Linked DNA regions of Astyanax mexicanus. The protein of the gene in region 2 binds, or shares a complex with, the protein of the main gene of each other region. Links are inferred from orthologs where the notes say so. Each region holds a gene or a part of one and is shown on either strand. Other genes may lie near its edges.

The links.
Region 1: nme5 (region 2) and ropn1l share a complex: the UniProt entries of both Homo sapiens proteins name them as parts of the axonemal radial spoke complex. The link is inferred for Astyanax mexicanus from reciprocal best matches to the Homo sapiens genes NME5 and ROPN1L.

Annotation. Positions count from the first base shown.
Region 1 is NC_064408.1:99,302,809-99,311,044, forward strand, and holds the start of ropn1l (ropporin-1-like protein), read right to left. Parts: upstream 3,178-8,236; 5' UTR 3,004-3,177; intron 2,912-3,003; 5' UTR 2,860-2,911; coding exon 2,832-2,859; intron 1,670-2,831; coding exon 1,519-1,669; intron 479-1,518; coding exon 355-478; intron 238-354; coding exon 76-237; intron 1-75. Other genes in the region: ndufb4 (NADH dehydrogenase [ubiquinone] 1 beta subcomplex subunit 4), read left to right, coding at 5,389-5,565, 7,837-7,980. UniProt on the Homo sapiens protein: Functions as part of axonemal radial spoke complexes that play an important part in the motility of sperm and cilia. Important for male fertility.
Region 2 is NC_064417.1:28,157,398-28,164,898, reverse strand, and holds the start of nme5 (nucleoside diphosphate kinase homolog 5), read left to right. Parts: upstream 1-4,247; 5' UTR 4,248-4,514; coding exon 4,515-4,649; intron 4,650-6,042; coding exon 6,043-6,248; intron 6,249-7,501. Other genes in the region: rack1 (guanine nucleotide-binding protein subunit beta-2-like 1), read left to right, coding at 139-286, 457-552, 802-912, 2,040-2,180, 2,627-2,737, 3,039-3,104. UniProt on the Homo sapiens protein: Functions as part of axonemal radial spoke complexes that play an important part in the motility of sperm and cilia. Does not seem to have nucleoside diphosphate kinase (NDPK) activity.

The DNA.
Region 1 (8,236 bases), on a different chromosome or scaffold from region 2:
TTTTAAGTATGTTTTTAGCCAAAACAGGATTAAAGATTAATAATCATTTTAATATATTCTTTAGTTGTCACTTACTCCACCCAAAGCACTGCAGCTCAGAGCAAAGAACCCCATCCAGTCAATTTGTTCATCAAAGTTGCCAAGGTCAAGGAGTGTATTGAGCTGTTCAACCGGCAAGCACAAGCCTTTCCACTTCTTCAGCAACTCCTCTTTCATAACAGGTTCTTTTGGTGAAAGCTGTGATTATAAAAAGAAAACAGCGTCAGAATATGTTCAGTTATATTCATTCAAAATGTTACATAACCAAACATTTTTATCACTAATAAAAGAGCTAGCTAGGCTTATGTCACGAACCTGCTTGTGAAGGACCTTGAGCAGGCCTGGAGTAAGCCCAGTGTCTGTCTTTTGTGTTGCTACTGGCATTTCTAGCCTGTCCTTGACTGGCAGAGTTTCACCTTTTGAAAGTGCTGAAAAATATCTTAAGAGGAAATTATGCATTTTAAAAGAAAAACTTAAATAACTGTGGATTACATTTCAAACGTAAGTCTCTTATTAGTGACGTAAGTGACTCATATTTAATGTGCTCTACCTGTGTATGAGCTGTCTTTTGAAAACTTTTCAACATTAGTAATCCTACTCTATTCCTCAAAACTTTTGAAATGTATAGCTCATAACCTTTTAAAGATGATGTGCCAAAAATGACCTCCCTTAAAGCCACAGTATGTGAGAATTGTTTTTTTTGTTTGTTTGTTTGTTTGTTTTTTTCGCTTGTAGGCTACCCCTGCAATTGGCAAGTGGAATTTACACTTTGAGACACCCTTCATTTTATGCTTACATTCAATTTGGGGATTCTGTGATACAGAACCATTATTAAAAGTAAAATAATCATGTGAACAGACACACTTGAGCAGGCTAATATTGCTGGATGTTACACACTTATCATTCAGGTTGCACAGTTCTTGCAGTTTTTTCTACTTTTCCTGCCCACTTCAAAAGAGATACACAGTGCAGTGAGCAGCACACTGAGCCTGGAGTAGCCAGAATACAGACACATTCTCTCTTACATGTCAGTGGAGCTTTACAGATTTTGAAGCTCTTTTTAAGGTAAAAATGCTAAATATGGTTGCTTTAATCCTTTATCATTGAATATGCTTTTGGTTGTTACTGCCCTGTAGTAGTTGTTACTGCCCTGTAATGGTTGTTACTGCCCTGTAGTGGTTGTTACTGCCCTGTAGTGGTTGCCCTGTATTGGGTGTCATTCAATAAGCAGTCCGAGCTGAAACACATTTTAAGGCTTCAGGGTGAATGGGCATGACTAAATTGTTTCAGGCTAAAACTTGTAAGATTTTAAGCGCCGCAGCTATCAGAGCATTGATCCCATGATTGTTCTTGGCTGAAGACGAGAGCTGAAATTGGCCAAATTGGAGAGACAATTTCAACAAACAAAAACAAAGATACAATCACAGTACATGTCATGCAATGTGTTTTTTCACAATCTAGCAAAGTGTACCAACTTACGTGGCAGCCCACTGCAGTACATCAGGTGGCTGTGTTCTAATAGCAGCTTTAGTAAACTGTTTCAAGATATCAGGCAGCTCTGGGGGAATGTTGATCTGCTGGGAGCAGTACATCGTATCTGGAGGAGGCATGTCTCCTGTTAAGAAGTGATCTAGTGAAAACCCAAAAAAGATTAAAGGAAAGTAAAATGTTAGAGAATAAGTTACATTTCAGACAAGCACAACATATCTACTGTAATTTAACTGTAAATCATTGATTTAATGTCTGTCTATTTGCTTATTTAGCTGACTACAAACTACATCCCATAAAATCCATAATCCATAAAATGCCTTTATTTTTTATTATGAAGATGTTTTCTATAAAAAAAGAAACTGATAAGAGCATACTCTGAGCATACTCGGACTTTTATTGTAATCTTGGTGATGCGAGCAGAGAATCTCCAGAGAGCAGATTGCACACTTAAACCTGGAGTCTCTGCTCTGGGTTTGTTAGACCACCGGAGGGCGTCTGATTTTTTATACTGAAAATTAGATTAATTTACTGAAGAAAAAGCAATTTCAATTTTAAATGATAGACCAACAGAAAGTAGAATACAATTGTGAATTGGAATGAAAATGATAAATAAGTTTTAAAGTTTTTATATAATAATAATAATAATAATAATAATAATAATAATAATAATAATAATAATAATAATAATAATAATAATAATAATAATAATGGACACCTCATTTAATGTATTATCTTTTTTTATTTTTATTTTACACTCCAACTGTAATATTGTAGACCATAAAATGATACAGGAACACATGCAGATTTATTCTGAAAACTAAAAACGGTAAAACAAATCATAATATGTTACTTTAGATTAATATAAGCATTCACATTTATCTTTGAGGACAGATCTGCACACTCTTGGTATTTTAATCTTAGTGTCTTCATGAGGGAGAGTCTTTTGGAATAGTTTTCTCAGTGTCTTGAAGGAGTTCCTGGAGGTGCTGAACAATAGTTGCTGCTTTTTATTCACACAGTGAAGCTCCAGCTCATCCCAAATCACCTCAAATCACCATCTCAGTTGGAATGTTTTTTTGTTTACTATGTAATTCTATATATGATTGTGTCCCTTACTCATGTGTTTAATATTAATCTACAAAGTAAAAAAAATAAATAAATAAATAAATAAATAAAGAAAAACATTAAATGAGAATGTGTGTCCAAACTTTTGACTGGTGCTACAGATATACAGGATAGTTTAACGTTATATAGGTTCATAAATTAGCTACAACTGTTGCCTATTAATATAATGTAGCTACCCTTTAATCTAGAGCAAACAACAGTCATCAAGTGTTCAGCCTGACTGTGATGAATTACTCGGCCTGGTTAATCAAGTTTTCTATAAGAACAGAATAAAAATGACCAGTGAGAGACTTAAGCTCAGCTCTTTAAACTCTATTAATCCTCTATAAACACCTTGTAACAACTCACCGGACTCACAATAACACACGGGCTTCCTTCAGCGGACAAAAGAGAGGTTCACTATTAATTTAGATGAAATAAAACATCCTTTAAAACAAAGCTAAACTAGTAAACTAACAGTGAGCTATACTAGCTGTCACCATCCTGAGACCCCCTGCTTTCCCAGCGGCGCACTGTTTGTGTATAGCGCGTTACCTAGCAACACGTTATTGGGTGACTAGAGTGCCCCCTAGAGGGCTCATTTAACATTATGTATAACACTATAAATACAGCTCTGGAAAAATGAGACCACTTTAAAATATTAGAACATTTTTTCATTTAGAGCATTTATTTGCAGAAAATGAGACATGATCAAAGCAATGAAATAGATGCAGTGCTTTAAGACCTCAAATAATGTACAGAACATACATAAAACATAGATATAACATAGATGTAAAATAAAATAAAATATAGAATGAACCAATAATGTTCATTTTACTTATATCATTTTGTAGTGATCTCTCTTTTTTTTTTTGTAGTGGTCTCACTTTTTTCCAGAGATGTTCGGATGCCCAAGTTCAAATTACATATATGGTGAACATTCTAAGTAAATGTAAGTAAATAAATCCTGTATATAAACAGCCTTTAAAAAGAAATAAGATAAAGCAAAATTTTTATTTATTTAAAATTTTTAAGCAACGCATTGTATGTGCATGCACTATTACAATAAATGTGGCACATGTCACATGTGTTTTTTTTTTTTGTTTTTTTTTGGTGTTTTTGTTTTTTTAATCCAATATGTTAAATTAGACTTCCTCTCCCTAAAAATCCCGAGTCGAGTCATTTTACAAGCAGGAATGATGGCCACTCGTTTTTCTTTAGTTAGCTGATTGGTTCTTGCCGTAATATGAATTGTACTAGTTTTCCAATAGGGCTGACGGCTGTGTAGTAACCTGACTTCTGCACAACACAACTGATGGTCCCAACCCCATTAATAAATCAAGAAATTCCACAAATTAACCACGATAAGGCACACCTGAAAACCATTTTAAGTGACCACCTCTTGAAGCTCATTGAGAGAATGCCAAGAGTGTGCAAAGCAGTAATCAGAGCAAAGGGTGGCTGGTTTGAAGAACGCGCTCAAGTTATTTACTCACCTGTTCACCTGTACTTGTGTGATGTATTTATTTATTTTATTGTATTAGTCTGCTTTATATGATTTTGGTGTTGTGGTTTTTACTTTTATGTTTTTTAATTATGAAGATGTTTTCTATCAAAAGAAAAACTGATAAGAGCATACTCTGAGCATAATCGGACTTTTATTGGAATCTGGGTGATGCGAGCAGAGAATCCCCAGAGAGCAGATTGCACACTTAAACCTGGAGTCTCTGCTCTGGGTTTGTTAGACCACCGGAGGGCGTCTATACTGATTTTTTTATACTGAACATTTAATTCATTTATTGAAAACAGAGGAATATCAACTGTTTCTGTACTAAAGATATCGGTTTAAACATTTTAAACTTTAGGTTTAAGCCTTTTAAAAGTGATGTGGCTGTAACTTCAGCATCAGTTTATTCACCAATCAATCAGCTTACAGTAGCAGTAATGCTAGTGTCCGTGTTGCCCAAAAATCGTTTGATGTGGAAGATTAGAAAAATGCAGATGCGATTTCTTTGCTTTGTTAGAGAAATATTCTTATTTACTTTCTTAAATGAAAGAATATCCTGGATGAGTAGTAGGAAACTATTTTTAATTTGAGTTTTTATCCGTTTAGCTCCATTCACCCCATGCATTACGGTCTTACTCGCGGGCTCCCTCTAGTGTTTCTCACCTGTTTTCTAATACAGCTCTGGAAAAATAAGAGACCACTTAAAATGATGGGTTTCTTTTTTAAGAAACTGAAAACCTCTGGAATATAATCAAGAGGAAAATGGATAATCACAAGCCATCAAACTAAGCTAAACTACTTGTTTTTTTGCACTAGGAGTATAACATTATTTAGTTGAAGCGTGTAAGACTGGTGGAGGAGAACATGTCAAGATGCATGCAAACTGTGATTAAAAACCAGGGTTATTCCACCAAATATTGATTTCTGAACTCGTAAAACTTTATTATTATGAACTTGTTTTCTTTGCATTATCTGAGGTCTGAAAGCTCTGCATTTTTTTGTTATTTCAGCCATTTCTTATTTTCTGCAAATAAATGCTCTATCTAATATTTTTATTTGGAATTTGGGAGAAATGTTGTCCGTAAAACAACAGTGTTCATTTTACTCAAATATATACCTGTAAATAGCAAAATCAGAGAAACTGATTCAGAAACTGAAGTGCTCTTAATTTTTCCAGAGCTGTATTATATTGTGTGAGTGTGCAGCAGGTAAATCAGTCCGGGTCAGCTCGCTGGTCGTCTGCAGACATGGCGGACTATAAAGAGGCACCTTTGGCTTCCCGGCCAAAAACGTTGGATCCAGCGGAGTATTTCAATCTTTCTCCGGAATACCGCAGAGCTGAGGAGGAGCGGGCTGCGATCAGAGCCCGGCTGAAGCGGCAGTACCAGATGCAGCTCAACAACCCGCTCAGAAAAGAGCTGATTGTAAGACTTTCCGCCGCTCACCTAGATTAGCTTAGCTAACGTTTACTGGGTTATGTTAGCTTAGCTGTATAACTGTATGAAGCCTGTTAGTGTGTGTATAATGGTATAATATGTGTTCAGGCGGTGTCTACAGTCAATCTGTCCTTTAATTGTATCTAGATTACAGTTTTGAACAGCTTATTTCATGTCCTGATATTTAACAGGTGTTTATTAAAACAGTGACCTTGGTGTATGGTAGAGTAGCTTAGCTACCCTATGCTAATGTTTGCGGTCTGATTAGCTAGCTAGCTAGCTAACCTAACTGAAGACTTTAAACGTCAATAAACGCGTAGAATAAAGTCCTAACGTAACACAGCCTCGCCATCTAACTTGTCTAACTAAGCTCTGGCAGTTTTACTGGTTGTTTCTGTGCCGCTGGTCTATCGGTCGTTGACAGGTGGCGTCACGACGAGCTTCTATTTGTGTTTAGTGCCTTAATGCAGTCAGCCTTGTTCTACCTTATTTTAGATCACTCTCCTACAGAGCCAATAAAGGGACGTGGTGTATTTTATTTACGTTAAGTGGTAAGCACTACATACTAAGTGTAGTGAACCCCTGAAGGGACATGGTGAATTAAAAAAAAGAAAAAAGAAGTATTGGGCACCACATACTAGAGGTGGGCGATACTGGGAATTTTGATATCGATCCGATACCAAGTTAATGCAGGGCCAGTATTGCCGATATTGATACCGATTCCTTTTAATATTTTCAACTTTATAGATTCAAAGGATCCAAAAGACCTAGGATAAAATTTCGCCAAACATTGTGCATGACAACGAAATACTTTACCACAATCAACATTTTTGTTTCGAAACAGTGGCACAGTAAGTTTGCCTTAACATTAGGAAAATAAATATTTTTGAGGTAGAAAAGGAGCAACCACTATACAAAAAAAATTCTCACCTCACTAGACATCTTTTCTAGTTCTTTCTTTATTTGTTTCTTTTTTTTTAAATAGAATTGTTCTTAGGAAAAACAATAAAAAACATAAGTAATTTTTTTACTTTCAGTGCAATTCTATTTTTTCTTAAATAAACAGAGTGTATTATATTTAATAAAATATCCAAAAAAAAAAAGAATACTTAGGTGGTGTCTCTCTCCATACATGTTGGCTGTTTGGCTGGCTCCGCTGAGCCACGTGCAACAACAAAAGACCAGAGTCGGGTTTGGGGGTGCAGCGCTACTCTTACAGACAGTAGACTTTGATGAATCTGTGTGCGCAACAGTTGGTGCGTACAGGAAAGAAAAAAAGCTTGAGTATCGATCTTTTTACACGAGTATTGCTCAATACCAATACCAGCATTTATATCGATATTATCGATCTACCACATACTAAGAGGTGAACCTCTGAAGGGACATTGTGTATACTAAGGGGGTGTTCTGAAGACTTTAATAAGCGCGTAGAATAAAGTCATAACCTAACACGATCAGCACAGGGCGTCTGTGAGCTGATGTATCGAAACCGAGTCGCTGTGCTTTTCTCTGAGCGAGCTGTGATGCTACTCGACAATGCTGCATCAACAGCAGTTCTAAAAGAGACTAAGTCTGACTTCATGTGTATCAGAGGAGGCATGTGCTAGTCTTCTCCATCCTTGTATTGTGGCATCACCCTTGATGTGGGGGTATATTCAGCTGACTAGCAGTTGAATATGTGGGATATTTGGCTCTAGCTTAATAGGAAGAAAATTGGGGAAAATTAGACATACATTTAAAATAATACTAATAATAATAATAATGTGGTTTCTGTAAAACTGAATACAGGAATTAGACCTTCCATGATTTTATAAGTAAACTCTTGGTTGAACAGGAGAAAAATTAAATACAGGTAAAGCCTTCTGTGCTAAGTAAAAATTTCTATATGTTTCTGTAAATGATGTTTCTCTAAAACCTCTGTCTTACATAAAGTTATTACACCAGATGATTATAAATATCCTGCCTGATGCCCGAGACACAGTTTTACTACAGTTCTAATAAGATTTTGGGTCTAAAAACTGTTCTTAAAATATAATTAAAATAAGGGAAAAATACATGCCGGACTTTGTACAAGTAATAATCCCCGTTATATTTATTTGTTCAGGCCTGTCTACTCGTATCCAGATATTTTTAATGAACTAGAGATTATAAAAGCATGTTTGTTTCTACCACATTCACTACCTTAAACATGACTCTGAATACCTGATGCAGACTGTTCACTGGTCAGTGTTAATGTGTGCTGTGGTTTTGTGCTTGTAGGAGGATCCAGCTCTGACCCGGTGGACGTACGCTCGAGTCCACGTCTTACCCAACTTCAAAGCAACACCAAAGACCTCACTGCTTGGCGGCCTGTTTGGAGTGTTCCCACTGTTCGCCCTGTACTTTTTGTTTAGCTCTGACCGGGTAAGTTGTTAATGACTGCTGGAGATAAATGTTTGATCTTGGCATTTATCAACAACACGGGTTTCATGAAGTATACTCAACTGTTTTTTGTGACCTTTTTCTATATTGTTATGGAAACTGTTTGTAGCACAAAGGTATTTAGTTTGTGATTCCTGATAGTAGGTGTGGGTGATAAAAAGTAATATCATGTAATGACATCCTTTATAATATGAAAAAAAAACACTGAAAAATATTGCATTTGTTTCATAAAGCTGCA
Region 2 (7,501 bases):
TCATTTCATTTTGCTTAAATAAGCCCTAGAGTTTACATGACTGAAACAGGTCTTTCTTTTTTGTACAGTCTAATATTAAACACAATTTTGTATAGCTGGCATAATTGTCTTATTGAGTTCTACCCCTTGTTCTTCTAGTGGCACCACAACCCGTCGCTTTGTTGGACACACCAAAGATGTTCTGAGTGTAGCGTTCTCTGCCGACAACAGACAGATCGTTTCTGGGTCGAGGGATAAGACCATCAAGTTGTGGAACACCCTGGGAGTGTGCAAATACACCATCCAGGTCAGTGTGTTGATACCTTGGCGCGTGCGTGCACTGCATTGATTGGTTAAAGGCAGAGGCCAAATTCTATCTGTGTCCAGCACAATTATGCCATGTTTATGGTTGTCTTGTCCATATACTCCATATTGTCCATATATTTTGTTCTGAATCTCCTTTATTCTCTCCTACAGGACGAAAGCCACTCAGAATGGGTGTCCTGCGTGCGTTTCTCCCCAAACAGCAGCAACCCCATCATTGTGTCTTGTGGCTGGGACAAGATGGTCAAGGTACGGCTTGATTGCACTCATCCCAACTCAAGACTTAATAGATTCTGCTTTACTGTACCTTACCCGATGATTACAAATCTACATACATTATCTGAGCTCTTGGGCTCTGGCGACAAGTCCTGCAATTATGATGGGTAAAGATTTTTAGCATGAAGATTAATGGTAATGTGTTTTTGTCTATTTGTGGGAGCATATTATACCAATAGTGGTTCGGAGTGCTCAAAATGTATGCATTTGCTTTTTTGACAGGTGTGGAATCTTGCTAACTGTAAGCTAAAGACGAACCACATTGGCCACACAGGATACCTAAATACAGTCACTGTGTCTCCTGATGGTTCTCTCTGTGCCTCTGGAGGAAAGGTATGACTTTGCCTTGCCCTAAAGGTTATCTTTTACTATTGACTATTGCAAGTTTTATTCAGTACAAACATATCAGCAATAAGTATAGAACTGAACCTTTTTTTAAATAACTAACATAGGGAGGCAAAACTATTCATAATGAATATAGCAAATTATGAGATTTGTAAAGTAAAAATGTGAAGTAAATTAAAGGATGGGGAACCAGTGCACAGTTGAAGGCATGTGAAAATGTGCCTGCAATCATTTTGTTTTATTAATTTGCCACTTTTTCAACCACTTCATTATTTTAATAGCCTGAATGTATTTCTGCCTGGCTTCTCAAAGAAAACATCATTGCTTGGTATAAATTAGTTGTGCCTTTTACCTAATTTCAATTGCCAAATAATTGATGCATATGTAATATTTGGGTAAATGTAAAATTGGGTTAAAAAAAAAAATAGCTTACAACTCCGGTGTAAAATGGATTTTGGGGTAGTAAAACATGAAATGAGTACTAACCTTTTTGTTAAATAGCTTACCTCCGCTCTCCTGCAGCTTTCCGAGATCCAGCCAGCACTCTTTACAATGGCCAATTCAGGACATGCACTTGCCCCTGATATCGCTTTTTACGCCATCATCCAGGCTCAGAGTAGCTCCACACAGAGCCCTGACATTTAAAATGTGGCATTAGTAACTTTTAAAAGTGCACAAAAGGCTTATTAAAACCCACTGTTTACAACCTGTAGTGTAGCCTGATCTCTAGGCACCGCCATATCAAAGTAGTCAATCAGTGTAGTGGTGTTGGCTAACGGTGCCAAAAGTAAATTTAACACTGGCGTTCTCCTTTAAGCTTAGTCTGCCTGTGGTAGACATATCACATGGTAAATATTAGAGTATAATAACGCGCTTGCATTAATAAAAGCTGTAGGCTTCCATACGAGGCTCTAATGGGTTCAGCATCTCCAACAAATGGTTGTTTCAGCTGCAGTTCTTAGCTCTAATGTGGTGATGAAACTTTAATGCCATCTGTCTCTCTGTGATGATAAAGAGGCTGTTTCTGAACATTATATTAATTTCTGATTGAGTGTGTGTAAGAATTGTGCCACAGCTCCTCAAATGTGGGTGTTTTGTTCTTGCTTGTGTTGTAGGACGGGCAAGCTATGCTGTGGGATCTGAATGAGGGAAAGCACCTGTACACCCTGGACGGTGGGGACATGATTAACGCCCTGTGCTTCAGCCCTAACCGCTACTGGCTGTGTGCTGCTACAGGCCCTAGCATCAAAATCTGGGTGAGTACTACTCCAGTTCTTTTCATTCTTAACATACCAAGACATAGATCCGTCACAAAATATTTGGTTGATATACTCTCCCAGAAGTAACTGCGATAAACAATATTTATTGCCATTTAAAGACAATTTTAAAGAAATGTAAAGACAATGACACTGATATAATAATAAATAAATAAATAGCCACTTAGTACATGTTGACCCTGTAAAAGCTGATATTGTAATTATCCTGACATTCAACTTTTGGGTGGCCTGTTTTGTGAGACTATAAGATGAGTTCAGTGACGAACCTTTTAATGCCTTCTGCTGTCCTGTGATGATAAAAGAGGCTGTTTCTGAGAACTGTCTAAAAAACAATGTTGTATGCTTTTTTTAGATTTTTTCCAAGACTTCTTAATATCCATAAGGGCAGTACTGACCATATGCATTTTTTTCTCTTGTCACTTCAGGACCTTGAGGGTAAAATTATTGTTGATGAGCTGAGACAGGAGGTCATCAGCACAAACAGCAAGGCCGAGCCCCCTCAATGCACTGCTTTGGCCTGGTCTGCTGATGGACAAGTAAGCTTAACCTATTATTCTTTTATAAAAATGCATATTTAGGTTTTTTGGGTAATAAACACTAAAAGGGCCTTACCGGACAAACCCCTGTGATTATCAAACCATATACTATCTGAAACCGCATGGTGACAGTCCTGCAATTATGAGGGGTTTGGGTTAAATTAGGCCCATCCACATATGTCTGGATATTTTTTTTTACCTCTTTATATATTTCCATTATGTATAAATAAAGCCTTAATATTTCCTTTTTTTGTTCATTAAAACAGCTGGTTTAAATTGCTGTTTTTCATTCTCTTCACAGACTCTCTTTGCTGGCTACACTGACAACCTGATCAGAGTGTGGCAGGTTACCATTGGAACTCGATAGGCTTTTTGTAATGTTTACAATTAAATAAATATATCACAGTTCTTTCAGTCATTGTCTTTCTTTTTCTACACTGCATGTAACTGACTGGGATGCCATTTCAGTTTATCTATCCAGGTATATTTACAGTGTTGTTTCAAAGCTGACATTTTACATTTAAGGTATTTTAGCAAACTCTTAGCCAGAGTGACTTACAGAAGTGATTTGTTTACTTATTATTACCTGGTTTGTAAAGACTACTTTCAGAATGTAAAAAATGTAAAGCTTTGATAATGTTTAAATGACTACGAGAAAATGATTAGTTTAGGAACTCTTGAAAAAGATGATACAAAGAGATACCAGTAGGTCCTGAAATATTTGGAAAGTGACACAATCCTAGTGGTTTAGGCTCTGCCTGCCACTACACCGGATTTGAAATTAAACTACTGATTTCACTGACTTTCAGCTATAATTCATAAGGCTGAATTTATGAAGTACAACTTCTTTTTTTTTTTTTCCTTCTTTTTTTTAAATAAACATCTATTAAAGCTCATAAAAAATGAGCTGATCCTTTTCAGGCATACAATAAATGTCAACTCTTTGAAAGGTTGGCTGAATAAATAATTAAAGGATTTGTCTGTCAATACTGGTATTACTCGGTGTGCATTCCTAAATAAAGTTAGTATATGAATAAATAGTTTGTGAGCAAAACGTATTTGCATCTTACCAGTTGATTACACAGTATTCCTGTTTTTAATGTACTTTTGCACAGTTATTAACATTGTCCTGCCAAATATTTATAGGTTATAAAGGTAGACAAAAGGCATGTGTAATTGGTAATTATATTTTTAATTTGTTTATTTTTAATAATAAACGGTCTTTAAATGATTGGAGTATATTGGGAAGAGTTATATGTGCATTTAGTTTTAAAAATGGAATAAAATCACTAGTTAAAACTAACTGCTGCTCCTGTGTTGGGGTTAGCATTGTGCAAACCAACAACATTAAAGGCCCTTATTTTTTTTAAATAAACGTTTAGAACGTTTTTATTATACTGACGCTGAACGTGGTTAAATGTTGTATGATAATTATTAGTAAATATTACATTTTATATATATTTTTCTTTTTTCAGTTTAAAGGCGTTTAAGGCGGTCACGTGCATGTGGTAACCAAGCAACCACACAGCAACAGTCCTCTGGCGCTAGTTAGCTGAGCATAGCGTAGCTTAGCTTTTAATACTGAGACTTTATTTCAATATTAACGATTTATTGTGATATAAAAAGTAACGGCGTCTAGAAAACAGTTAAATGGTGGTTTTATATCTGGACTGAAGTTTTGTTTGGTTTGAACTGGATGTTTTCGCTGTAGTTTAAAGTGTAGCAGTGAGCTGTATTAGGTTAGCTGGCGTAGTTTATTGTAAAAGCTGAGTGAGTTATGGCAGACGAGCGGAGTTTACCTCAGAAGCGCCTTTTCCTGGAGAGAACTCTGGCTCTGATTAAACCGGACTCTGTAGATAAAGCAGAAGAAATCGAGAACATAATTCTACAGTCCGGCTTCACGATTTTACAGGTATTAAACTTTACATAACCTAGCCTTAGTAACGTTAACCAGTTAACTGAACAAACTAATAGTTACGAAATTAAGCCTAGTCTGAATAAAGATAGATAACCTAATATTTCAGTACAAACTCAACATTCACAATATGTAGTCCAAGATAAAATAAAATAATATCGCAGTATTTTATGGCATTTTCACGATATCACTCTTGGTGATATGACAAAACACTGAATTTAAACATTCAAGAACCCACAAAAAGAAAATAAAAATTATATTATAGCATACGATATGATTCATAAAATTCAAGAATATTAGATTTGTAACAGAAGTCAGTGATCCAGAATGTCATGATACTAATAATGCACTCCATATATCTCCATATATCCAGGACTGAAGTAAAATGAATGATGCTAGACAGATACAGCTCTGAAAAAAAGAGATCACTTAAAAGTTTCTTTGATTTTACCAAATTTTAAACCTCTGGAAAATAATCTAGAAGAAGATTACATCAAACCAAGCTGGACATGCCGAGATACATGAAAACTGTGATTAATAACCAGGGTTGTTCCACCAAATGCTGATTTCTGATCTCTTAAAACTTAATAAATATGAACTTGTTTTATTTGCATTATTTGAGGTCTGAAAGCTCTTCATTTCTTTTGTTATTTCAACCATTTCTCATTTTCTGCAAATAAATGACAATGTTTTTATTTGGAATTTGGGAGAAATTTTGTCCGTAGTTTATAGAAGAAAATAACAATGTTCATTTTACTCAAACATCTACCCATAAATAGCAAAAACAGAGAAACTGGTGCAGAAATTGAAGTGGTCTCTTTTTTTTTCAGAGCTGTATATTATCTAGATCAGAAGTTCTCAGACTGGGGGCCACAATGGGGTGCTAAGGGGCCACAGAAAAAGGGTTAAATATATTCAATACATATTTTTCAGCTATGTTCATTTATAATTATCTGATTGGCCATATCTTTAAAATGTTAAAAATGTAAAACACATAGAAAGTTACATAAAAGTACATAAAATTACATAGAAAGTTTATGTTTTTTTTGCCCTGGGTAGGATGGGTGTTGGGGGAGCAGTGACACCATCCACAATGGGCAAATCCAACTAAAAAGTTAATAGAACTACAGATCTACACAAGTCACGTGTTACCACTGATATCTATGGAATCTTTACTAGTTAAAACTGTACCTTCTTAAATGATAAAGTAATGTTAATGTAATAATGTATAAATAATAAATTATAATAAATAAAATGTTTACATATATATATAAATTGAGAAAGGTTGATATTTGGTTTTATGTAGTTGAAAGGGCACAGTAGGAAAATATGTGGAATTATTCTTAAACTAGAGCTCAGCTGTTCATTATTTTTTTATGTTATAAAACAGAAAAAGAGGCTTCAGTTAAGTCCGGAGCAGTGCAGCGATTTCTATGCTGAGCACTACGGAAAGCTGTTTTTTCCCAGTCTGACAGCTTTCATGAGCTCTGGCCCAGTCATCGCCCTCGCACTGGCCAGGCACCAGGCCATTTCCACCTGGAAAGACTTGATGGGACCAGCCAACAGTTCCAAAGCCAAAGATACACACCCTGACTGGTAATTAAATGTGATTGATAATGTGTTCAGATTCAAGCACTACTGGATTATTTAAAACAGCATGCAAAAAAAAAAAGTTTGCATATTTATAATTATTATTATCATTACTAGTAGCAGTAGTAATAACATGGATGTCCATGGCTAATATTACTGTAATTATCAATTGCACACCTTATCATTTAAATTTCACTACAAAAAGAAATACGTTAGATAAAATCCTAATCCCTTAAAATATAGCACTAAGCAACACAAAAATGTACTATAAGGAATTCAAAAGAGTAAAAATAGGGCATTGCATGACATGCCGGTATGCCCCATATATCCCATAGGGATTCATTCCTCTCTTTTAATTTAATACAATAGTATTTATTAGATTTAAATCCTTATTGTCTGACACAGACCTAAAAATTAGGATACACCGCAGTTGGATAGATAGGCTGACTAACTGACGAGCTGACTTTCTTTTTTTCTTTATTAATCCCAGTGGGGTTAATAGAGTAATATCATTTGTATTGTATGTATAGAGAAAGTTTGGTCAGTAACCTATAAACATGATGGCAGGTAAAGTGCCTATGCAAGTGTCTTATAATGCATTTTAAATCAAATAAGGTTTATTGTCTCATCACGTAAGTACAGATGAAAAGTTGAGTAAAACACATGGTCCCACATAGTTTGCAGAAAGAACAGTGAGGTTCGTATGGTATATAATCTTACTACAGGTTAGGTGCCCTGTGATGGTTTGGACAGAACAGTGTCCTACTCTGCTCAGTGGCTTGAGTGGGTGGGTTAAATAATTTATGATCCTTGTACATCCCCCCTATCCCCCCTATCCCCCCCCATCCCCCCCCCCCCCCCCCCCGGCTAGCAATCAAAGTAGATATACAGAGTTCTCAGCCACTGGCCCAAAACAATAACCCCATGGAGGTTTTTAACCCCATCAAATTTGAAAGGTCAAACCACTGACCCCCCCCCCCCCCACCATTCACATCTTTACCCAGCCATCTCAGTCTGCAAACGACTTGACCCATCAACAGAGTACTTAAGAAAGATTGAAAATGACCCAGATTTTCATGCCGCTCAGAAACACTGTCCTCTCAAAGTTTGTCCTTACAAACTGTTTTATAGTCTTTTATAGTGTAATTGCACTTCAAATGGTTCTTTAAACTAACTTATAAGACAGTGGTTCTCAAACCGTTGTAGGTAAGGCACCCCAAGGTAACCAGATAATCACAGAAAATGTGCAGCCAGCACTA